Drosophila melanogaster: one gene and its partners. Changing the gene in region 3 together with the main gene of any one other region gives a genetic interaction. Each region holds a gene or a part of one and is shown on either strand. Other genes may lie near its edges. The genes, in order: not, E(Pc), htt and Klc.

Region 1 (6,172 bases), on a different chromosome or scaffold from region 3:
ATCCCGGAGACTCACAAGTAATTTGCATGAGCGTTGCGAAAAGCGCATTGTCGAGCGTACATTAAAAAATTCATCTGCGGCAAAATCATATGAGCATGCATATTAACCGTTTGTTTTAACATTTTGGCTGCTTAGTTCTGGATGTTTTGGGCAGCGTTGATAATAATTTTGCCTCTTGCGCTCGCATATGCAGCCATTTTACTTGAAGTTGGGATAATTGTACGACTTTTGAAACTACATTTTAATCCGCGTTCTGACGACACCTAGACTTTTTCCAACTGCGACAGTATTGCAAAGCTCCCGATCTTATCGATAAGGTAATTGACCCGATAAAATATACATTTCCTTTAATAAATTAATAATAATTCAAGCTCAGAAGATGGTAGTCTCAGAAAAAGGATTTTATACCTTAAAATAAATAAAATTCCTCACGAAAATTGAGGAACAATTATGTATAGCTGTGACTGTGAAAAGTTTAATTAGACAATTGGATTTTATCCAACAAGAGTAGGTTCTCATTACACGGAATTAAAAAATGTATGCTCATAAATAGCATATTATATTCCCAGATAACATTCAATGTGGTTTGTGCATCGAATAAGTAAGCAAGCGTTCGAACCAAGCGCACACTATAGTTGTCTCTTTTTAGCCTGCTCATAGCACAAGGCAGAGCGATGGAGTGAGAGGGCTCGCACATTAAAAAGCGTCATTCTGATCGCTCCCAGTACCGCAGGCTCGTTGGTCTAGAGGTATGATTCTCGCTTCGGGTGCGAGAGGTCCCGGGTTCAATTCCCGGACGAGCCCAAGTTGACGTCGGTTGTAATTTTTTTTTGTTTTTTAAATAATTGCAATGTATCTTAATCCCAGTTTCCTAAGCCCCCAAAAATGTAAGTATTTAAATTTACAATTATTGCTCTCCTTATTTAAATGAAGACGAAATAAAAAAAATCCATGACATTCATAAGCATGATTTGGATTTTGGTTCAGTTATAACGGATGTGTCTGAAAATGAGTTTTTAACATTTTTTTTTTCAATAAAAGGCATTTCAAGAAAAATGATAAAAATTCGCTTTCCATTTGTAATACGGCGTTTGTAGAATATCCCTTGTTTGATTTTTAAATATAAATGTATAAGTCATCTGCTTGTTGTTTTTGATTTTGTTTTTAGTATTATGGATTTGAAATACTTAGAGCAAAACGGGTATCTCCACAAATCGAGTGTTCAGATTGATTACATTTTCATTAATTTCCTTTTTTTTTGTTCTCCATTGTTCGTTCCAATGTTTTGAGTTTGTGAGCTTGAATAACCCCAATCGAATCAAATGAACACTCCTCAAATTGTAGGATTGCTTTCGTGTTTGTGTTAATATTACTTAATATGTAAGCGCTGCCGCGTCCTTGTCTGTATTTTGTGTTTATTCGTAATTCGTAATGCATTGACTTCTGTTTTCTGCTTTTGTTTTTTGAGGGATGCAGTCGCTGCTTTAATCGATCTCAGCGGATTTTCTTACTCGTATTCCAGCACATTTTTATGGTAGAACAATAAATAACTGAAAGAAGTGAAAATAAGTAGTTAGTTAATAATGATTTGATAATCCGAATAAAAAGCTAAATAACGTTGTATATGAATTTAAGATAAGACGTGAAATCAACTTAAGTAAGTTAACATTGAATGCTGCTTTTGCGGTGATAAAGTTGTAATATATTGGTCATTCTTACCCCTCGCTGTCCAGCACCTGCTTGAGCGATGCCATCGTTATCACATGATCATCGCACTTGACCCACGTGTCCTTCTGGTGCCGCACATACGCCGTATAGTGGCCGGTGTCGATGGTGCCCACATGATTGACCACGGCGTACAGAGAGAACCGGAAGTCGCCGTAGGCGTTCTTCTTCTCCGACATAAAGGGCGTCATGTCGAACTCCACGGGGAATTGAATGAACGAGGAGATCTTGCGATCGATCAGAGCTGAGTGCTCGAAGCGTTTCAAATGGAACGACACCACGCTGGGCAGAGTGCGCAGGCTGAACTGTTTGGTGGACTCCTGGTAGGATTTGCAGGTAGAGCACTTGATTTTGGCCGCCGATCCGAGATGCTCGGCCCGAGTGTACCGCTCCAGGCAGTCTATCAGCGTTTTTGGAGTAACACCACCATGCGTTGTTGTTTCGCCCAGGTCCAGCGAAATGTCCCAAAACGGATCGTACGTGGTGGACACTCCGTTGCAGGCCTGGCACACCACATCGCTCTGCAGCATGCCCGTGAAGATCTGGTCAATGATGCAATTACACTGGCCGTAGCAATGCGAGCTGCTCGAGTTGCTGGAATTGGTTCCACTTCCCGAGCCAGAGCTGTTGCTCTTGCTTTCGTGCTCCGCCTTTGCCTTCACGCAGTGCCGATGCAGCACGTCCAGAGTGGCGATGAAGAACTCGTGCGCATCCTGCTGCTCGTAGCCGGCCAAGTGCTTCGCATGGTTCCAGATTAAATGCAGTAGCCGGTGCAGCGACAGCGGCGAACGGGAGCCGGAATAGAACTCCTACAAAGGGGGATAGCATATCGAATAGAAAAGACTCCTCATAAACACCACAGCATATTGAACTCACCTGGAAGAGACGTGACACTTCACAAACGAGACATTTGTGCGATGACTTGCTGCCGCAGTCGTGACGATCTGACATAAAGTAATCGCTGAGCAGGGGCGTGTGAACCAGAGCCTAGAGGAGACAGGAGTAAGTCAGTGAGAGGAGACTCGCCAGTTTAATTGGATTTGCCCACCTGGACGATGCAGTTCATGAAGCAAGTGGCGCCCAGATTAAGCAGACCCCTCAGTCCGATCGTTTGATTGGGCCTCACCAGCCGACGCCTCGCATTGGCCAGCAGCAGATTGGTCTCCTTGGTTGTGGGAACCCACGGCACCCAGCCGATGCTCTTCTGCAGATCCTTCGCCTCCAGCTTGCGGTTGATCAGCGCATACTCGCGACTCCGCGCGTCGTAGATGAAATCTCTGCAGGCGTAGCAGTAGAGCGTTCCGTGGGACAGCTCCAGGGCCACATTGTGCTTCTTGGATCGCAGGTGACTCGTGATGTGGGCCCCCCGACATCCGAAGTAGATGCAGTGCAGGCAAGCGTACAACTGGATGCCGTAGCTGCCGCACTCGAAGCAGTTGCAGTGAATAGCCTGGCGGAGGTAGATTTTAAAATGGCAGCTGATAAAAAATTATATTCGTTTTTTTTCTAATCCCATTAACTTTACAAAAAATACGTCCCATACTAAATGCATAAAAGTGTAACAAAAATTTGAAAACTCTAAATCTCGTAAGCAATATAATATATAATCAATATGAAGCTAAAAATACAAAAGCCATGTAACAATATTAAATATTTTGAATATATTTTTCTTGATATGTAATTTCACCGTAATGAAAACAAAACTTTTTCGATGCAAAAGTATTTTTCACAGTGCCAATTTGTCAGCTGTTAAAACAGCTGTTGCATGCTTTACCCATTCAAAAAAGTCCGCACTGCTTTGTGGTGAGAACGGTGCGTTGTCTGCCACTGTCATCCCACAGCCGGGGTGTCAGTGACCTTTCACGTGACTCACGGCGCACCTCTGATTGTAATTGCGTTCTCCCCTTCGCACACTCGCACATTCTCACCTCACCACGCCAGTAGCGCACTCATTCTAGCTCCCACTCTCTTCCACGCTACTGAACTCACCTTTCGCTCGCGCGCATCTCTGTTGACGCAAGCAGCGAAGTAGGCGTCGATGACCCGGAATGTATCGTAGCTGTGCTCCTTCACATAGCTTTGATAGTGCCGACAACCCGTCTCGGACATGACGGCGCTGCTGGCGTCGGCGCTAGCGTTGGCTTGGGCGCTGGCGTCGCTGCCGGCGTCGGCGCTCTCAAGTTCAATAGCAAGTTTTTGCACGGTACGCAAGCAGTCCGATAGGCGCAAATGTTTGGTGGCATCTAGGGGGTTTTTCGCGTCCCTGTGGCCCTTTGCTACTCTGTCTCGCTGCTTGTCGCTGTTAACTGTTTTGATTAGATCGGCGGTGATAAAGCGACCGGCATTTGTTGTTGTCGCTGCTGCTGCTGCTACTGCTAGTGTTTCGTTCTCGGCCGTTCCCCGGCCCGCTTCTGCACCCACCGCCCACCGTTCCGTTCCCCTGCCGAAGCTTCGGCCACTGCTGCTGCTGCTGCTACTGCTAAATACGCTCGTATTACTATCAACACTATTCTCTTTTGTTTTCGCCCGTTTCGCCGACGACTGCAGCGGCACGAATGCTTTGTCACACTTGCGCTGTTTTCGCCGAATTTTGGCCACTTTTGCGGTTCTTCGCCGGGCGGCCCAATTTTGGAAGTAGTTGGGCTTTTTTTTTGTGAATTTCTGTGATTTTTCGCTTGCTTTTCTTGTTTCTATTTCGCACTGCACGCAAACACATACACACGCGCGCATATGTGTTGGTAGAAGACAGCTGTCAGTGTGACCAGTTGCGAAATCGTACTCAGATGTTGGCATTGGTATTTTTCTAATATAAGAGTATTGAAACATTTAAAACGGAATATTAGTTTAAATAGAAAGTAAACTAAACCATTCAAGATAAAGTTATATTGAAATGGAATCTCTATTCGGGTTATAGGAACAATAAAAGGTTCTAGCAGCCCAAATATTGAAATGCATCCATATTCGGATAATTACGAGCTACTTATTCCTCAAGTTTATAATGGGATACAATTTTGTATACCAGTAACCATTCTTTATTTTTAGACTGGTCCCATTTTATTATAAAACGGTTAAAGTCGCCCAGCTGATGTGTTATCGACAGCAAGCAGCGGGTGGCGCGCAAAATAAAAATACTAAAAGTTAGACGGGAGTCGAAATAATTTGCAGGCACTTTTAGATATGCGAATAAATAAATATTAAGTGACAAATCAGTCGTTAGCACCTTTTTTTCCTTGAACATCCCTCACTTTCGCATTCTGCTTTTCGAATTGCCAACGATTCGATAACTCCGCTGCATCGCTATACAACACTGCTGCATTTGAAAATACCGACATCTGCCTGCGAGTCGCAGCAGGCGCGCTTGTTTTATTTTAAGTCGAAATTAGGCGACTTAGTGACTGAAAAAGATGTACAACGACGAGGTGCGAACGCCGCAAGCCCTCAAGAATCGATACATTACAAATGTGAACGGATTGAAGTGCCGGGCGCGCCGTAACAGCCACTCGAACAGCAGCAACTCGTCGGCGGCGTCGGCAACGCCAACGAATGGCGGCAAAGAAAATGGAAAATACAGCCCCCAGATGTCGGGAAATGTGTGCACCCCGCCCCCGAAAAGGCTGCACAAGGTGCGGAATCCCTTCGAAGGAGCGATGGCCGATCGTTTACACCTGCCACTGATCGCCAGGTGAGTTTTTCGTCTGCTCGAAAAATCCTCTTAACGCGACCCTCTCTTTTCCTGGCAGCCCCTCACTTTTCCGCTCGCGGACACCCCAACTCTCGTCCACCCAGTTCGAGTGGAACATTGACGAGGTCTCCCAACTAAAACCCGCCGACGTGGAGCCCCATGAAACCCAGTTCCACGATTCCCCCGATCCCGAGCAGGAATCCAAGGCCCAGTTGGCCATCAGTGCCTTTTTCAAGGAGTCACTCATTGTGCCCAGTCCGGTGGATTGCCCATTGCGAAAACAGCGCATAATACTCAATTGCAGCGAGGACAACACTCCCATATCGAATAAGTCGCGAAGGATGCGGGATTGCGAGGTGCAAACGGAACTTACTTTGCCGCCGATATTGCCAAAAGCCCTAGAGGATGCCCTGCGTCCGTACTTCCAGCCACATTTGGCTGGCCGCTTGTCTGGCAGGAGCAAGTCAAGTGGTGGTCCCGACATCTTTAATAGTTCCATGCGCCGGAAACTCTTCGATCTGCACAATGTCATTGTTTTGGGCGAACAGGACACGGCAGAGCCATCGAGGTCCATGGTGGGCTCCAGTCCGCAGGGCAAGCAAACAATGTTCGCTGGCAGACTGTCGGATTCCGCATCCGGGGAAAGTAGCTTCGGCTGCCTTTCACCCATTAGAAACCTATGCGGACTGCCGCCTGGCACGCCCGATAATGGTACTTGCTCGGGAAAGAGGAAACTTCTAATGCACGAGCTGGAGCTGCCGTCGC
Region 2 (5,259 bases), on a different chromosome or scaffold from region 3:
ATCTAAATAGTGCTTCCCGCCACTCACCTCAATTCGCCATTTCACCCACTCACCCCAACTCACCACACCAAGTGGCGCACGCGCCACAAATTCCACCAGTGGCGTACGCAGGATTCTCTCAAAGGGGCTTGAAAATATTTTCTTATTTTCATTTAATTCTGTAATATGCTGAAGAAGAAGAGCCCTCTCCCTGCGCACGCCACTCTCTTCAACCACCAACACGGTTGCGCAGCCGCGACAGAGAGATATGCCTTCGCTCTCTCGCAGCTGCGCCACGCCCACCACCCACAGCCACCCACGAAAATGGTGCTTTTTCACATACGACACCACTGTCTGACTATATTTTTCATCATGTACGCCATCGCAATCCATGCCACAGTGGTCGCAATGCCGCGACAGCCGCTCCACAAGTGCCACCAAATACTATTTTATTTGTGTATTTATTTTCACCGAAAATGAATTCCTGCACTTTGTGGGCGGCAGGCGCGCGTGCATTGCCGAGCATCTGAAACGTCGAGGGTAGAGATGAAAATATCGGGCGCCGCCTGTCACCGGCGAGTATTACCCAATATAAATCGCTAATGGCCACAGGCGGTCGCCGCCCCAACTGTAATTGTGAACGTCCGTGCGGCCATTGCCCAAAAATGATTACATAATACGATCGAACGAACCGAATGAGAAGCCAAAGAACTAAGGATACGAAAGCAGCTGAAATAACGTTGGAGGATCGGCGCGGGATTTTGGCAAATCGAGCTTCTTCTGCTTGGGGCTTTTCAAGCATAAGGCTTTGAGGCTTTCTTTTTACTAAGCAGGTGCTTCCAACTCGCTTTGCTGGACAAATGCCCGACATAAGTTACCATTCAAAATCGCTTGGCCAAATCAGCATTACCCCCACAAATTGTTAAGGACTAGCGAGTAAATTTTAATCGTATTCTCGAATATAAATTGAGCAAACTTTAAGTCAACGAGCACATTTGAAACTATCAAGACATTGTAACCAGCAAATAAACAAAGTTAAGCAAAACAGCGAGTACGAAAAGCCTTGTAAGAGATTATAATAAAACAAAAGCATTTAAAGGAAGTTACAAAGTGGAGTTATTATTATTTGTATGCTGTATGCACAAGTTTAATTTAAAGAATCCAAATAAAATTCTAAGCTATCCAGCACACAAAATAAAACAAAAATTGTTTTACTCATTTAATAACTATATCTATAATGTCGACTGTTCAGCAAACAAGTTGTAAATACAAATTTGAATTAACAATTTTTTATAAATTTCGAATGTTAAAGCCCATGCGTTAGCACATCTTTGCCGATGCCGCAATTGTGAGTGTTTCCGATAGCTCGCACGAAATGCACTAGCGCATGAGCACTCCGAATTATTTGCACACCACTAGCTGGGCACCTGGTGAATGGGGCTGCGTAAATTAACAACAAAATAAATAAATGCAGCTTGGCCCCGGCTATCCAAATGTATGCATGCGACCCCTCACAAAATTCCACAGATTTAGATGAAAACCGCACTCAAAACGGTTAACTATTTCGCCTGGAGGCCTAGCCAAAATAATTTCGCCACTGTGGCGACGATTTCGTTCGACTCCGACAACTCCGAATTTTCATTCGTAATGGCCGCCCATAAGTAAAAACGTGTCCCGCTGCTGAAGAACGATTATACGCGTTTGCGCTAAGCCAATTGCTTGAATTTAGCTGTAAACGGTGCGGCAGTGGTAAATACGCTGAAAACCACATCATTTAATCATATAAGAGGCCCCAACGCCCGGCAAAGAGTGTGAAAAAAGTGCGTGAAAAAATCTTAATCGATTTTTTTGTTTGTGAAAAAAAAATCATGCAGCGTTGGGCATAGTGCTCGAAGAGCTCGCCAGGGGGCGCTGACAAACTGTTCGGAGTGTCATCGGAATAAGAGGCCGGCTATTTAGCGCTGCCAACGGCGATTAATCGATAACCGTAGCGGTTTTGAAATATATATTTTGAAAGGAAAACGTCATGTTAGAGCAATTTAAAAATTCTAGCAGTAAATATTTAATTTTTGCCCATATATGACAGGGCCCTGCAGTGAAATTGCGGCAATTAAATCGACGACCGCTTATCGTTATCGCCGCCGACGGCACAAATAAATCGCGGCCCCGCTGTCCGCGGCGTCGTCGGTGTTCGGCTCTCTGGCCGCCATTATTGCTTTCCAGCGAAACCACGCTATACGCAAAATCGGGTTTATATGTGTAAATTTTTCGGGCGATTTATCAACCAGATTGCGTTCGCTGATGCATGAAAAGTGCGGTAAAGTGTGTAAAAAATTAGCGCTGGCCCAGAAAAACATACGCACTCGATGGCTGATTACTAATTAACTAGATAAAAGCAAAAAACAAAACCCACATGAGGCGGAGTTTGATTGCGTTTTTTTTTCTCACTTAACAGAGTTCTGTACAAACAAAATGTTAGCTAACAGGGCTCTGCAAAGTGAAATATCTCGCGGAAAAGGCAGTATTAAATTCGCCGCGTTTGTTTGAGATGTGTGTTTGCGCGCGTGTGTTTGTTTATGCCGCCTTTTTCTTCGTCTCGGCTTTCTATGATTTTGCATTTTATCGCATTTAAATAAAAAAAAAAAATCATGACTCATGCGGATCGTGTTTTTGTGCGTGTTAATATTAATTTAATGCAAAAGCAAAGAAATATACAAATGTATGTGGATTTGTGAGTTTTTTCCCGCGCGCGCCGCCCTCACATATCAATGTATGCGTGTGTGTGAGAGTTGTTTACTTACTAGTTTTTGTTGTTGTTATCAATTCTAGATTTTTTATCAGCCAACCGATAACACGACAGCCAAGGCGAAATAATAATAAATAATAACAAGAAGAGGAAGTCAACAAATAAGCAAAAGAAAGAAGAACACAATATTGATTTAACCTAAAACGATGATGAACTGAAATGTGCAAATTTGATGAACGTAATTATGCCAATTCACACAGAACCTTCGATTTCAACGTGAAAAATGTCGTCGACACATTTGCTGCATTCACTGTCACTGTTGTTGCTACCACTGCGTTGTCGTCGTAATTGCCACCAGATCGTTTCCTTGGCCATTGTCCTGCTGTCGGCGCTGTCAGCCAGAGCTCCCGAGGATCAAGGAGGACGACAGGAGAGGGAGGCGGAGGAGGAGGACGAGCGGCAGGCGGACCGCCGGGAGAGTGTCCAGGGGGAGGAGGAGGACACGCCCTACATAGTCGCCAATCCACACCCAATCCTCACTAGCAGTAGCACTACGTCTTCGGCCAGGGCAACGGGCACAGGGGCTGCGTTAACCAGCTGGCAGAGCAGCCACAGCCACCGCAGCCCCGGTGCTCACGATCGGGATCGGTGTCAGGAACAGGAACAGGATCAGAAGCAGCAGCACCTTTTCTACCCCAGCAAGCCCCATCTCCAGCTAACGTATACAGCCCCCTCGACATCGAGTAGAGGAGCCAACACAACGCCGACCACGAATCGGAGTAGATCCTCCAGAATCCAAATTAGCAGTTGCAGCACTAGTCCTGCCCACTGCAGTTGGACCGCCGGAGCAATCGTAGCCTCCTTAGCATCCATAGCCACCTAAGCAGTCGATTCCACTAGGCAAACTCTCAAATCAGCCACAGCAACAGCAAATAGAAACGTTCCACACACCACAACAACCCAACCCAAAACCACCCACAACCAAAACCCAAACAAAAGCCAGCAAGATGTCCAAGCTGTCGTTCAGAGCCCGCCATTTGGATCCGTCCAAGCAGATGCCCATCTACTTGGCGGAGGAGCTGCCCGACCTCCCCGAGTACTCAGCCATCAACCGGGCAGTGCCTCAAATGCCCAGTGGCATGGAGAAGGAGGAGGAGTCGGTAGGAAGTTTCTCAGTGATCCTTTATTTTGGATGAAACTAATTTTGTCCCTTATCCCTTGTAGGAGCACCACTTGCAGCGAGCGATATGCACGGGTCTGATCATCCCCACGCCCGAGGTGCTGCAGACGGATCAGCCCTTCTACGATGCCTACTATCCGCCGGACTACAAAATGCCCCGCCAAATGATCCACATGCAACGTAAGCAAAAAGCAACTACTAGAGCAGAATAATTCGTTTCGTTTCGGGCTTAGAACATTATTTTTAAATTCCATATCAATATTGAATGAAATGCAATAACTTATGTAGTTTCGTATTATTCTTGGACTAATTTTTTACAATTGTTTAACTCTCAGCTCTTGGGCTGGATACCGAGGTCCCTGACTACGACATGGACAGTGCCGATGAGGACTGGCTCAGTCAGCAGCAGCGCCTGGAGCTTACCGAACTCAAGTTCGAGCAGATGATGGACCGGCTAGAAAAGAGCTCCGGCCAAACGGTGGTCACGCTGAACGAGGCCAAGTCGCTGCTTAACCAGGACGACGAGACCAGCATATCCGTCTACGATTACTGGCTGAACAAACGCCTCAAGATGGTAATAAACACTTAGCTTGGCTATTGGCTACGGCAATATACTAAATCAACTATCTTATTCATTCTCTAGCAACACCCGCTGATCCTCACTGTGAAAACTGAGAGTCGACCAGGCGCCAGCTCCAACAATCCGTACTTGGCTTTTCGTCGTCGCACCGAGAAAATGCAAACCCGCAAAAATCGAAAGAACGATGAGGCCTCCTACGAAAAGATGCTCAAGCTGCGGTAAGAATCGAGTGAAGTTTGCCTAAAGTCGGTTGAGAAATTTTTAAATGCTGGCTAATCGGGCTACACTGCAATTACTGGACACAGAACTTGCAAACATTTTCTTTCTCTGTATCATATAAATTCAATTCCTGCCCGATTTAAATGCAGGTTTTTTATGCATGATATCCTTAATCAGGAATTTTCCCATATACAACATTTTGTTTATAAAAAGCCAGGTAGTTTTCGTTAGCCAGCATATTTTATTGCCCAGCTTTTCATACCTGACCCTAACTAATCCACTCTTTCCCTGTCCTCTAGACGTGACCTGCAGCGCGCCACCACTATACTGGAGATGGTGAGGCGACGCGAGGAGACGAAGCGCGATCATCTCAAGATGACGGTGAACATCTTCGAGAAGCGCGTTGAGATGCGCGACTTCAACGGTGCTGTCTACTCCGAGCTGAATTCTCAGTACAAGAACACAAGGTGCGTTTTCGGACACCTTTTACTTATGAAGAAAGGTACTGAAATACTCCTTGTTTATTTGCAGACCCGCGTATAATCCATTGTATAC
Region 3 (5,182 bases):
AGCAGATCGGCGTCATGCTCAATCGGGACATCCAGTTGGCCTTCAGGGACTTCGCCATGGGCCTTCTCGGCCAGTGCGGCAGCAATCCGAAATTGGGCGACGTGCCCATTCAGTTCAGGGACCCCATCTACGGCACCATGAATCCATCGTTCACCGATTTCGTGGCACCTGGCGTGATCTTGACGTAGGTTTCATAGATATACATTTAATGGGAGAGTCATTAATGCTTTTTTCACATATTTTATAGCATTGTATTCTTCTTGGCTGTCGCTTTGACGTCATCGGCTCTGATCATTGAGCGCACTGAGGTAAGTCGAGAAAATCTATCCTCTTTTGGGAATAATTATAATAAAATTTGCTTACTTCCATTCCAGGGCTTGTTGGATCGCTCCTGGGTGGCTGGCGTCTCGCCCTTCGAGATTCTATTCTCGCACGTGATCACCCAGTTCGTGGTGATGTGCGGACAGACCACTCTGGTGTTGATCTTCATGCTGGTGGTGTTCGGGGTTACCAACAACGGCGACCTATTCTGGGTCATCGTGCTGACCCTGTTGCAGGGCATGTGTGGAATGTGCTTTGGCTTCCTCATCTCCTCGGTGTGCGAGCTGGAGAGGAATGCCATACAGCTGGCGCTGGGCTCCTTCTATCCCACCCTGCTGCTGTCTGGAGTGATCTGGCCGATTGAGGGCATGCCCGTGGTGCTGAGGTGAGTTCTTGTGGTATTACTCTGTTGTGAATGGAAATTTAAAAAATCTTATCCCCCAGATACATATCACTGTGCCTGCCACTAACGCTAGCCACCTCTTCGCTGCGCTCCATCCTCACACGTGGCTGGGCGATACTGGAGTCGGATGTGTACATCGGCTATGTGAGCACGCTGTCCTGGATTGTGGGCTTCCTGGTGCTGACGCTTCTCGTGCTGCGAGCCAAACGCGGCTAGGATCTTCAGATATTACGCTACTTTTAGATGCCTAACTTTAGAACACGATAAGTCGTCCTAATTAGTTTACACCCACTTCGGGTCTTCTTCTTAATTCCACTTTCGAGTTTCACTTCCCTTCGTATCTGCCCAAATGTCATAAATTATTTAAGCACATTCGCAGCTTTCCTTAGCTTTCCACTCGGCACTCGTTTTTCCTTAGACTAAGTTCCGCACTTTCGTAGTTTAAAGCGTAAGGTTTAGGTACTCCTAAATGAAATGTTGTAAATATTTTGTGTCACGAATTCAGTAATCCGTTGCTCTAGATGTCCATTATTTGCAACCCTCTGTACTAGACCTTTTCTCGACGCCGACACGGGCAGTTTATCACATACAAACGCAACTAATTTTATATATTTTCAATGGACTGTGATTGTTTTTTCTACATAATTCACGCGAATACACGTAGGGCAAGCCTAAACAAAAAGAAAACACAATGAAAACGAACAAAAACAATGGTGGGTTTTGTTATTAACATTAAGTAGCTTAAAGCATTTTTGTATGGGTTTAAGTTTTTTAAGGTAAAACATAATTAAATACAATAATGTACGCAACCCTAAAGAGTATGTAAAAATATATTTCAGGAAATATTTTGCGCAGAGCATAAATATTTCACAACGAACAAACATAAGACAATGAACAACGAACAAGTGAAAAACGTTCTTATTTAAGTAAATATTAATGTGAACGCAGTTATGTATAAATAATAATAAAGCGTGAATAAATAAATAAAGTTAAATTTAATTGTTGGTTTACTTACATTTTGAAAAAGATGTTCTCATTTTAACATTGGCGCCAATGCACTGTTACTGTTTTCTAGCATGTCCATAACAGTCTTTTAAATGCAGGAAATAACAACTCATTGTGACCAACTGGCTGGAATTTAATAAATATGTTATCACTTCTAATTTTCTCCAAAACTAAAAAGATAATTTAGCAGGTTAGTTCAAAATTTAAATATTTAACGATAGCTAACTTGAATACCAGGGCTGGTCGCTGGTGTTCCGCTTAAAAGCAGTTGTGCGCTCTGGTAACACTGGCGTTACAGCTGATTGAAATCATAACAAAAGAGCAATGTTTTCCTGTGTTGTTTATGCTTAAAAAGCGATTTTAGGCGTTATTAAGGACGCGAAAATGGACAAATCCAGGTCCAGTGCGTACGACAAGTTCGTTGGCTTCGTGGAACAACTGCGAAATACGGAATGCAGGTGGGACTGAACGGAAATTTGATTGTTTTCGGTTGCATTGAATGTTTTGGGGAGGGGACCGGCAACAGTTTGTTGCTCATTACGGAACAATATTGATTAAATTATGAAGCCCAGGTGATTTCCGGTGGTTTTATTGCCCTTAAGATGAACCTGCCAACTTGTTAGGCCACCCAAAACATTCATTCAACATTGAGCAATAAGTGCATCCGCTATGACGTCATGCCACATACCTGTAATAAAACTAATTTATTTCGAACCCCCCACAGCCAAAAGCAGAAGATCACCTGCTTTCAGCAGATTGCCGAGTGCATCATGTCGCCCTCGCTGGCGGGCCACATCAACTATGCCGCCCACTGCGGCACGGCCACGAATGTTCTGCTGCTGTTCTGCGAGGATGTGGATTCCGTGGTTCGGATGAGCGCCGAGGAAAACCTAAATAAAATACTGAGGTCACTCGAGAAAACCCGGGTCAGTCGCATTCTTATGGATCTGTATGGTGAAATTAAGCGTAATGGTAACCAGAGGTAAGGAGGCAAATATATTAAAGCTAAAATAACAATCTTAAAAAAGAAAAACTTTCTGCACAGATCCCTGAGGATTTGCCTAAACCTTTTCTCCTACTATGCTCCACAAATAAAGGAGAAACACATCAAGTGGTATGCCGTGAGATTGCTCCAATGTATGACCACCATTTCCCAGCGCAAGGAGACGTTGCTCCAGGAGACTCTTTGCGACTTCGTCAAGCACTTTAGCCGCCATATACAACAGGGTCTCAGCGATAGCGAATCCTGCAAACTGTTCGAGGTAGAATAATATCCCTAAACGTCTTTTCTTTTTATGTTTAAGCGTTTGTTGACTTTTGCAGACTTTTCTGGACCAAATTAGCTCCGATTGTGCCGTCAAGCGTCGTTGCTCTGCCCAAAACTGCATGAGTCTGATTGAGAATGCACGCAATAGGAGCCTCATGGCCAGACATGGGGTCAACAAAGTGATGGGTAAGACAGCTTAAATAGGAAATGAATTTCTGAGAGAAATACGAAAAATCCATATGAACACTGCATCCTTACTAGCAACTATAGCAAATGAGAAGTTCGTGAGTGCTGTTATTTACTATTAGAAAAGGAATTTAAATTCAGCAGAATGATACACTTGTTTCAAAACTCTAGGGTCAGCTGTTATTGTTATTTCGCAAAGAGTAACACCATTAAATTTAACAATATTGCAGCCTTAATAACAGCCTCTATTGTTTGTACACTTTTGGATAAACGTATTCACTATTCGCTGCTATCGCTGTTAGTTATTTAACGCATTTTCGCTACGACACTTTGTGTTCAACAGGACGCTCTTTATATTCACATCAATAATGAAAGAGATGTTTAAAAAGCGTGTAACGGCCAAATACTAAGCCTCGCATAGATCGTCATATATATACATATATTGTTAGGTTCGTGCTGGCTCTGCAGCTAAAAAATATTTTTAATATTCTAAAAAGCCGCAAATCCATGAAAAATACCTTACCAAAATGTAAAGCCATCGAACTGCGAACTACGCGAGCGCGGGAATAGATGGTTTTTGGTTTTATTCAAACTCGAATTGTGAATGCAATCACAGCCATGGGTTTGTTTGTCTGTGGCCTGTGGGCGCTAAAGGGGGCGTGGCACAATAAAAGTAACTAGACAGTTGATATAAATTATATTTCTACAGTGCTGTTGGTTACCATGCGCAATCGATGGACGAGCCATCGAATGTACGAATATACACACATATATTTTTTCCAGATTTGTTTTGATTTTAGGCAACGATAGCGGGCAGTTTTTATTTTAACATTTGCTAACTGGCGGACTGCAGCAATAACTGCAGCGGCAAAAACAAAAGTCATGGCAACGTGAGCCATGCGAAAATGCTTAAAAATTGCAAACACAAATCATTTTTTATTGAATTTTCATGAAAATATTATTGGCAAACGTCGACGAAGAGGTAAATGCACCATAGTTACGTTACATTTGCCATCGTCTTTTTATGACCTGCTGCATTGTCCAACAAAAAATTAAGTTCAAACCTCAGAGGAGCTCGGTGTTTGGCATTTGCAAACAATTGAAGTGATATACCGGACTGGGAAAACTAATTCATTTGCTAGGACTACCTTTATGGAAGTCAAAATTCTGACCTCGCCCAAGTTCATATAAATTAAGCTTCGGCTTGACTCTTCCTTTGCTCTTTTCTTGTCCAAATGTTTACCTTCAAATCAACTCCTTTAGCTCCTGTTCCGGTTTCTAGCTCTGCTCCTTTCCCTGCCGCCTACCGGTCTTCTAGTCCTGTGTCAACTTTATGCCACTTCTCGGCAAAGGCACAATGCCAGGCAACTCTTCAGCGCATCCTTATACAGTCTGGCGCCTCTTTTTATGGGCACCCATCATAGTACTTGGGCTGCCTGTGTTCTGGCATGCCCCAACAAACAGACACAAAGTACGGTGCTCAGACCTCAGAACTCAGAGCTCAGAGCCGGGATCCTAGATCCCAGACCCCAGAACACAGACCGCAGAGCCGCCCTCGCCCACGCCATCTCCGTTTGTTTGTCTCCCCGCCCGTAGACGAAATGAAATTTATGCACTTGGACACTTCCATGCAATAATTCATGCGAAATTGAATCAGATATTCATTCCTGTGCAGCTTTAAAGCGGATAATCAACGTTGTAAACAAATGCCGGCCGAACGAGGCCAGCAAAGGAAAGTCGGCAGATGCAAAGGGGAGCTGGCAAAATTTATGTTGCCCACTGACTGATGCCGAGCTAAACAAAAAGTGCAAATTATTTTCCATGGCAACTTGGTATGGCAGCACAAATGGCACAATGACCAATTCATAATCTGAAAACGCTGCTGATCTCTTTGAAAACGTACTCCATGGCCCCCAGATTGTCCACCTGGTCGAGAATGTCAAAGTAATTATTTTCATTTTGACTTCATTTTGGGCTTCTACGTGTATGACAGCTGCAAA
Region 4 (6,121 bases), on a different chromosome or scaffold from region 3:
ATCAACTTAATTCCATTTTCTGGAAAACTGGAAGCTGTGCCGGAGAAAATTCTTCAAGCAACCGAGGCGTTGATTATTTACTTTGATTCACAAGACGTAAGTGTTTATAAAAGCAATAATAGTATATCTATTATATTACAATTACTTGCAGACCTCCTTTATCGACACTATTCCCAAGACGTTAGCGAAGAATGAACAGATTCAGCTGGGCTTTCTGCTAACCTCTTCCACTTCAGAAGAAGGTGGATTGTCCTTTGGAGAAATTAAGGAGAAAACGAATTTCCTTTTTGACATCATAACATTGAGAAGCAATGTTGAGAGTGACCCAGATGAAGCTGAAAAGGACTACGAGGAAGTTGTGGAGGGTTTGAAAAACGTAGTTTGGTCCAATGTCAAGTTTGGTTCTGGTTAGTGCCCAGGATTTGAGTTGAGAAACCAATAATCCATTTCGTCCTATTGATTTGCAGATCACAAGGAGGAAATCAGTGCCGACGAGCTGGATAGTCAGCTGAAGGACTTTGAAAACTTACTCCTCACGGCGCAAAATCTACGTAACGATACGAGTCTCACTCGGGAACAATTTCTGGATCGGGCTGAGCAGTTTGCAGGCATAGTTTCCTCGATTTTAAATGACAATGATAGCGACTAACTGATACTCAGTTATCGTAGGCAAACTAATCGTACTGTTTGTTATCAATAATAAATGTTAAGCTGATTCCACTGTAATGTGCTATATCTGGTCCGTATTTTTGGTTTAGTTTTGAAGGTTTAAATACAAACAGGATTATGTTAAATATATTTGGTTTATTATTAAAAGCGGTACATATTTTTTGAAATAACAAGGTATAAAACGTTGTTTATTTGCTAATGTATGCTTGAGAGCTTATGTATATTAAGGAATGAATAAATAAAGTGTGTGTTTGCTGTTAGCTTTCAATCATAAACTTAAAGATTCCGTTGTGGGCGATGAACAAATAATATTTTTATGGTTTCGCATTCTTCTGCAAGAATAAATGGGAATGATTAATTTAAGTTAATTAAGTTAAGTGATTCGATTTTGAAACTCACCTCCTCAGAGAAATCCAAATCCTCTTTAATTGCCTTCGATCGTCGCTTTTCGTTTGACGTTAGCAATTGTGAGAGCTTCGTTTGTTTAGCTAGATCGTAGGCTTCTTTTTTACTCCGCATTGCACAGTCTTCCAGGGTTTCGGCCGCTTCAAACATGCCTTGACGTCGGTAAAGTGCTCCCAGATTTTTTAGAGTGGTTGTGACCGTGGGCGAATCCACTTTAGCGGCCTTATGCCAACCGCCGTACTCGCCATATGGAGTGTTCTCCCTGTTATCGAATTTGTGCTCCTCACGCTCCTCAGCCACCTGAAAATTGTAGTAAGAAAAGGAACTTTTGAGTATTTACCAGGCATAACAGCACAACAACACAACATTACCTGCCAAATGGGCTTGTTTTTGCTGTCGATGGCTCCAAACTCACGTTCGTGGGCTCGCGTCAAGACCTGCTTATAGAGGATTTCAGCTTCGGTGTATCTACCTTGCTTCAGATAGCAGCCGGCCAGATTATTCTTTGTCTTGGCCACGTTGGGATCATCGGGACCCAACTTTGATTCGTAGATGTCGAGAGCTCGCTGGTAGTACTTCTCAACCTCGTCGTATTTGCCCTGATTCTGGCAGAGCAGGGCGAGATTGTTAAGTTGCTTGGCAACATCGGGATGATCCTTTCCCAGGACTTTCTCTCGGATCTCCAAGGCACGCTTGCACAGTGGCTCGGCATCTTTGTACTTGCCACGTTTGCCATAGAGGACGGCCAAGTTGTTCAACGTGGCCGCCACGGCTGGATGGTTCTCGCCCAGTGTCTTTCCTCGAATCGACAGAGCGTCGTTGAGTAAATTGGCGGCCTCCTTATACTTGTTCTGTATGGCACGAGATGTTGTTAATTAACGATTGTATAAATTAAGTTAATCAAAGCGTAGACGCACCTGATCGCGGTACACGAGAGCCAAAATGTTCAGCATGGTTGCTACATCGGGATGGTCGTGACCACTTGTCCTTTCGAGATCTTCCAATGCTTGCTTGCAGAGGGGAACGGCTACCTCGTATCTAGAAATATATTAGGCTATTATAGTTAATGATGAATTGATAGATAACGATGTTGTAGGTAAGGGGTTTCTTTAGTGCTCACGAGTAAAATAAAATGCATGGATGATGACTTACCTTCCCTGCGATGCATACTGAATGACCAGGTTGTGCAGAGTACGGAGACGCGCTGGAATCTCGTAGCCGGAAGTCTGGTTGGCGAACTGGCTGGGCGGAGTGGGCGACATGTTGTGTCTGTCCTCGTTTTCCTCGTCCGGGAATAGCTCGACCACGGGATCGGTGCGGGACTTGTCGCAAGCGTCGTCCTGCTCCTGATTCTCGTCGTACTTCTTCACGGACGCCATGAACTCCAGGTGCTTCTTCTCCTCCTCTAGTTGGGCCACCAGCTGCTCGGATGCCTGGAACTTTTGCTGAGTGTTGGCCAGCTCGTCGCGAAGCCAGGCGTTCTCCTGGTGGAGGCGGCGCACCTGTGTCTTAAGCTTGTGCTTCTCGGCCTCGATGTTCTGCAGATGGGATGTCAGGGCCATCATCACCTGGGCCTCGCTGAGGCCCAGTTCGATGTTCTCGATGTTCTTTCGCAGCATGTCCGACTTTTCATTGTCCTTCTGCACCTCGGCGATTCCGTTCATAATCGAAACATGCTCCACTCGCAAGGCTTCGAGGCCTTGAAGGACTGTTTTCGTATTGGTTATGATTTCGTCCTGCGACATTTGCGTCATTTTGCCGATTTTCTCAATTTTCTGTCTACAAAACACATACAAAATACAGATTAGTAAGTGCTCCTACAACCCTCTGACATCTGAAAGTGTAACAACATGAATGATATCAAAATTAAAAGGTGTTAATCGAGGTATTTGATGTGTTTTACATCCTGTATGATTTGATAGCTTTGGAGACAATCATTTTAACCGTATATTAAACGATTCTAGCTGCGTTAATCAATACGATGAAAAAGAAAATTCGCAGTGCGCATGCACGTTAAAAAAGGTGGTTGATAATCGAAAATGCCCGCGCTATTACATTCGCTGTAACAATAACTTTTAGAAACTACAGAAACTATTAAAAGTAAGGGATCAACTTTCTGGATTAAGTTAACTTCAATTTACTTTTAAGCCAAACAAATTCCAGTTCATTCAATTATGTTTTCTAATTGGAAACTAATGGTGGAAGCATATTCGATTTATATCGAATACTGTGCTTTGAAAACTTTCTTTTATTTATTATTTATCAACATTGCCGGTGTGATTTACATAAACATGACACTTCGTTAAAAAGTGTTTAAGGCCATTTAGTTCGTTTATTATGGTTATAATTATGGGCGAAAGTTAATTACACTTGGCGTCATGCAATAAACAAAAAACGAATGGCAAAAGTAGCTGCTTACATCAACTAAAATAAATTGTATAGTTTTTTAGAGACCGAAGCTATTAGTACCCTAACATATTCAAAATTATAGTTTTCTTTAGTCATTTGCCTTTCGAATCGGAAATCTAGATTGCGTAAAATGAGATTGTAAGTTGATTTTCGAGAAAATAGCTTTATTCTTAATCAAGATCGCCAAATATTGTGATTGGAATAGTCAGATTATAAATATTGCAAATGGGGTTACAACACCCCAGCTCACTAATTCCAGTGTATTAAAAAGTGAGTCACTTTTTGTACATAATATCTATGAACACTTAAACATAAAAGTTAGTGGCATTAAGAGATTGTATTTAGTATTTATCATGCTAAACGATTACTTAGGCCTTAGGCCTCCATTTGTGTTTACTTTGCCACACGAGCTGCCGCCGAGCACTTTTCCAACTAGACTTGATTATTTATGTAAAACGAATCATATTTTCCAGTAAAAAACTTTTCTTCAAGTGGCAGTCACTTATATTTATGTGCAACATATGTACATACACAGATAAGCTCAAGTAGATGTGTTTGTGTGTGGGTGAATGGATTTTGTCGTTCGAAATCCAGTTGGAAATGATTATGCAAGTTATCGCGCAGTGCATTCAAATATTGTAACTTATTACCAGCGGTTTTGCTCTGCAAACTCCTCAAATAAGCGAAATAGTGCGTAGATTTGCTATAAAAATATCTTACACTGCAAAACTTCTAAAATAAAACTGAGTGTGACCGTAGCCGGGGCGTTGAATTGTGTTTGACAAGCTAGGATTTTCTTCAACTGTGCAGTAGTGGTCACACTGTCGGGAGGAGAACGCAGTGGAATCGAAACACTAACTAAAGAAATGAAAATTCCTGAAAAAATCGGGTAGACTAACAATAAGACTTCGTATAATAGCTAAGATGTAGTATAAATAAAGTAGTAGTTAAAAGTAATAATGCGCAACATGCTATTTGTAAGCATCTATAACATGTTGGAGGTCAACAAACGCACATACCTTGGTGGAGCAGGTATTGATTTAGTTCAATAAAAAATTTAATTTTTGGAACTAATTAAAGGTGTATCTTGAAATTTGTACACATAATATATAAATTAATTTGTTGTTAACTTAATGGATTTGAAAACATCGTTATTATATTAGCAAGCTGGCATATTTTTGTATTCACGATACGGTCGCACTATTCTTTTTGTAATAAATTTTGCAAGACTTTTTCAAGTCTCCGTTTTTGTTCTATATTTTAATTTTTACCGTCTAAAACTGAACAAAAGAGTATGCCACCCCCAAGACCGAAGGGGATAGGATTTAATACAGGAGCTACCCAACCCAGATCGAACTCAAACACGCCAATGTCGGAGAGGCAGCAAATGGCTCTGCTCATCCAAATGACAGCCAACTCGTCGACAGGTAAATAAGCAAAATAATTAAGTGAATGTCTACTTTTCACATGATTCAAGTGGATTTTATAGTTCAGTCACAAAGCTTAGAACTTTTGCTCGTCGGCTTGAATTTCAATTTACATCGTGGGTACTTCGCTGCGTACATACTTACACGCATATACATCTATGCATGTACATATCTACGTATGTACATACATAAATGTATCTGAGAGTCAGGAATAATGTAAAAGTATCCGAGAAACTGGTTTCGATTGCGGATAAATTGTCATTTAACTGATTCAAATGAAGATACCAATTATTATTGAAGAAATATGTGTAAAGATGTCAAAAAAACCCTGTCTCTTATCCGAGCTAATACTTTAGAAACCAAAATTAAAAACAACTCATTTAACGATGCTTAAGTTCTTAGTTTTCACACAAAATCATTTTAGTTGGTTTTCCTTCAAACATAACTACAAATTCCACCCGAAAAGATATCCGATAGACAATAAGCTTTCATTTTACTTCCTACATGATCTTCCAAACTAAATCACACAGCCGTCAAATGTAATGTATAAGATTCTCGTTCTTGCAGATTCATCCCGCACCACCTTAAAGAAGAATGAATGCAAGAAAGGAGACGCAGAGACTGACGAGGGCAGCCTGAATGAGAAGCAAGAGGTCCTGGACACGAAAGACAAATCTTCAGCGGAGGAGAGCAGCAACGATGGTAAATCCAGCGATACGAATCATCAGGGAACTTCGGCTGCCAAGCGCTGCTACTCAGACATAGAGGAGGACTACGAGGAATCTGGCGAGGACGTAAAGAAAAAGAAGCGCAAGGATTCGGAGCATGGAAAGGACGTGAAGGGGGCCTCCCTGAAGCTCACATCGCGCGTGGAGAAAAGCTCCAAGCTAGCTGCAACGAAGGGATCCCCGTCAGGAAACAAAAGCAGCGCTTCCAATGCCGAAAAGGAGCCGGCGGAGACTAGTAAGAATGTAGATATTGAGAACGAAACGGAGTGCAGCGATGATTACAAGAGTAACGACAGCCTATACAACGGAGGACTCAAAGTGCCGCCATTAAAAATTGTGATTCCGCAGCAGAACTGCTCAATCGACACTGAGGGCAATGTGCTTCGAACTGGCAAGGTGACTGCCTCTCGCAATGCCGCCCTGCCGTATGTGGTCAGCTCCAATAGCGATTCCATTGACACCGTCATAACCAATCAATCTATT

The links.
Region 1: of htt (region 3) and not, changing one enhances a phenotype caused by changing the other (phenotypic enhancement), as found in Drosophila melanogaster (one study listed by BioGRID).
Region 2: of htt (region 3) and E(Pc), changing one suppresses a phenotype caused by changing the other (phenotypic suppression), as found in Drosophila melanogaster (one study listed by BioGRID).
Region 4: of htt (region 3) and Klc, changing one enhances a phenotype caused by changing the other (phenotypic enhancement), as found in Drosophila melanogaster (one study listed by BioGRID).

The regions. Positions count from the first base shown.
Region 1 is NT_037436.4:18,617,658-18,623,829, forward strand, and holds not (non-stop), read right to left. Parts: upstream 4,473-6,172; 5' UTR 4,456-4,472; coding exon 3,715-4,455; intron 3,176-3,714; coding exon 2,774-3,175; intron 2,713-2,773; coding exon 2,602-2,712; intron 2,535-2,601; coding exon 1,720-2,534; intron 1,551-1,719; coding exon 1,508-1,550; 3' UTR 1,149-1,507; downstream 1-1,148. Other genes in the region: bora (aurora borealis), read left to right, coding at 5,130-5,407, 5,466-6,172. UniProt on the Drosophila melanogaster protein: Histone deubiquitinating component of the transcription regulatory histone acetylation (HAT) complex SAGA. Catalyzes the deubiquitination of histone H2B, thereby acting as a coactivator in a large subset of genes.
Region 2 is NT_033778.4:11,450,585-11,455,843, forward strand, and holds the start of E(Pc) (enhancer of polycomb), read left to right. Parts: upstream 1-1,604; 5' UTR 1,605-1,799; intron 1,800-2,184; exon of another isoform or gene 2,185-2,301; intron 2,302-2,808; 5' UTR 2,809-3,732; coding exon 3,733-3,885; intron 3,886-3,949; coding exon 3,950-4,085; intron 4,086-4,240; coding exon 4,241-4,479; intron 4,480-4,548; coding exon 4,549-4,703; intron 4,704-5,003; coding exon 5,004-5,171; coding exon of another isoform or gene 5,172-5,206; intron 5,207-5,235; coding exon 5,236-5,259.
Region 3 is NT_033777.3:28,694,219-28,699,400, forward strand, and holds the start of htt (huntingtin), read left to right. Parts: upstream 1-2,023; 5' UTR 2,024-2,113; coding exon 2,114-2,187; intron 2,188-2,453; coding exon 2,454-2,711; intron 2,712-2,774; coding exon 2,775-2,991; intron 2,992-3,052; coding exon 3,053-3,182; intron 3,183-5,182. Other genes in the region: snu (snustorr), read left to right, coding at 1-184, 248-308, 375-706, 766-940.
Region 4 is NT_037436.4:12,745,830-12,751,950, forward strand, and holds Klc (kinesin light chain), read right to left. Parts: upstream 4,228-6,121; 5' UTR 4,134-4,227; intron 4,011-4,133; exon of another isoform or gene 3,881-4,010; intron 3,070-3,880; exon of another isoform or gene 2,978-3,069; intron 2,854-2,977; 5' UTR 2,829-2,853; coding exon 2,227-2,828; intron 2,113-2,226; coding exon 1,992-2,112; intron 1,926-1,991; coding exon 1,446-1,925; intron 1,375-1,445; coding exon 1,069-1,374; intron 1,002-1,068; coding exon 984-1,001; 3' UTR 787-983; downstream 1-786. Other genes in the region: CG32109 (uncharacterized protein), read left to right, coding at 1-96, 152-407, 468-649; CG10984 (uncharacterized protein), read left to right, coding at 4,778-4,910, 4,973-5,026, 5,478-6,121. UniProt on the Drosophila melanogaster protein: Kinesin is a microtubule-associated force-producing protein that may play a role in organelle transport. The light chain may function in coupling of cargo to the heavy chain or in the modulation of its ATPase activity.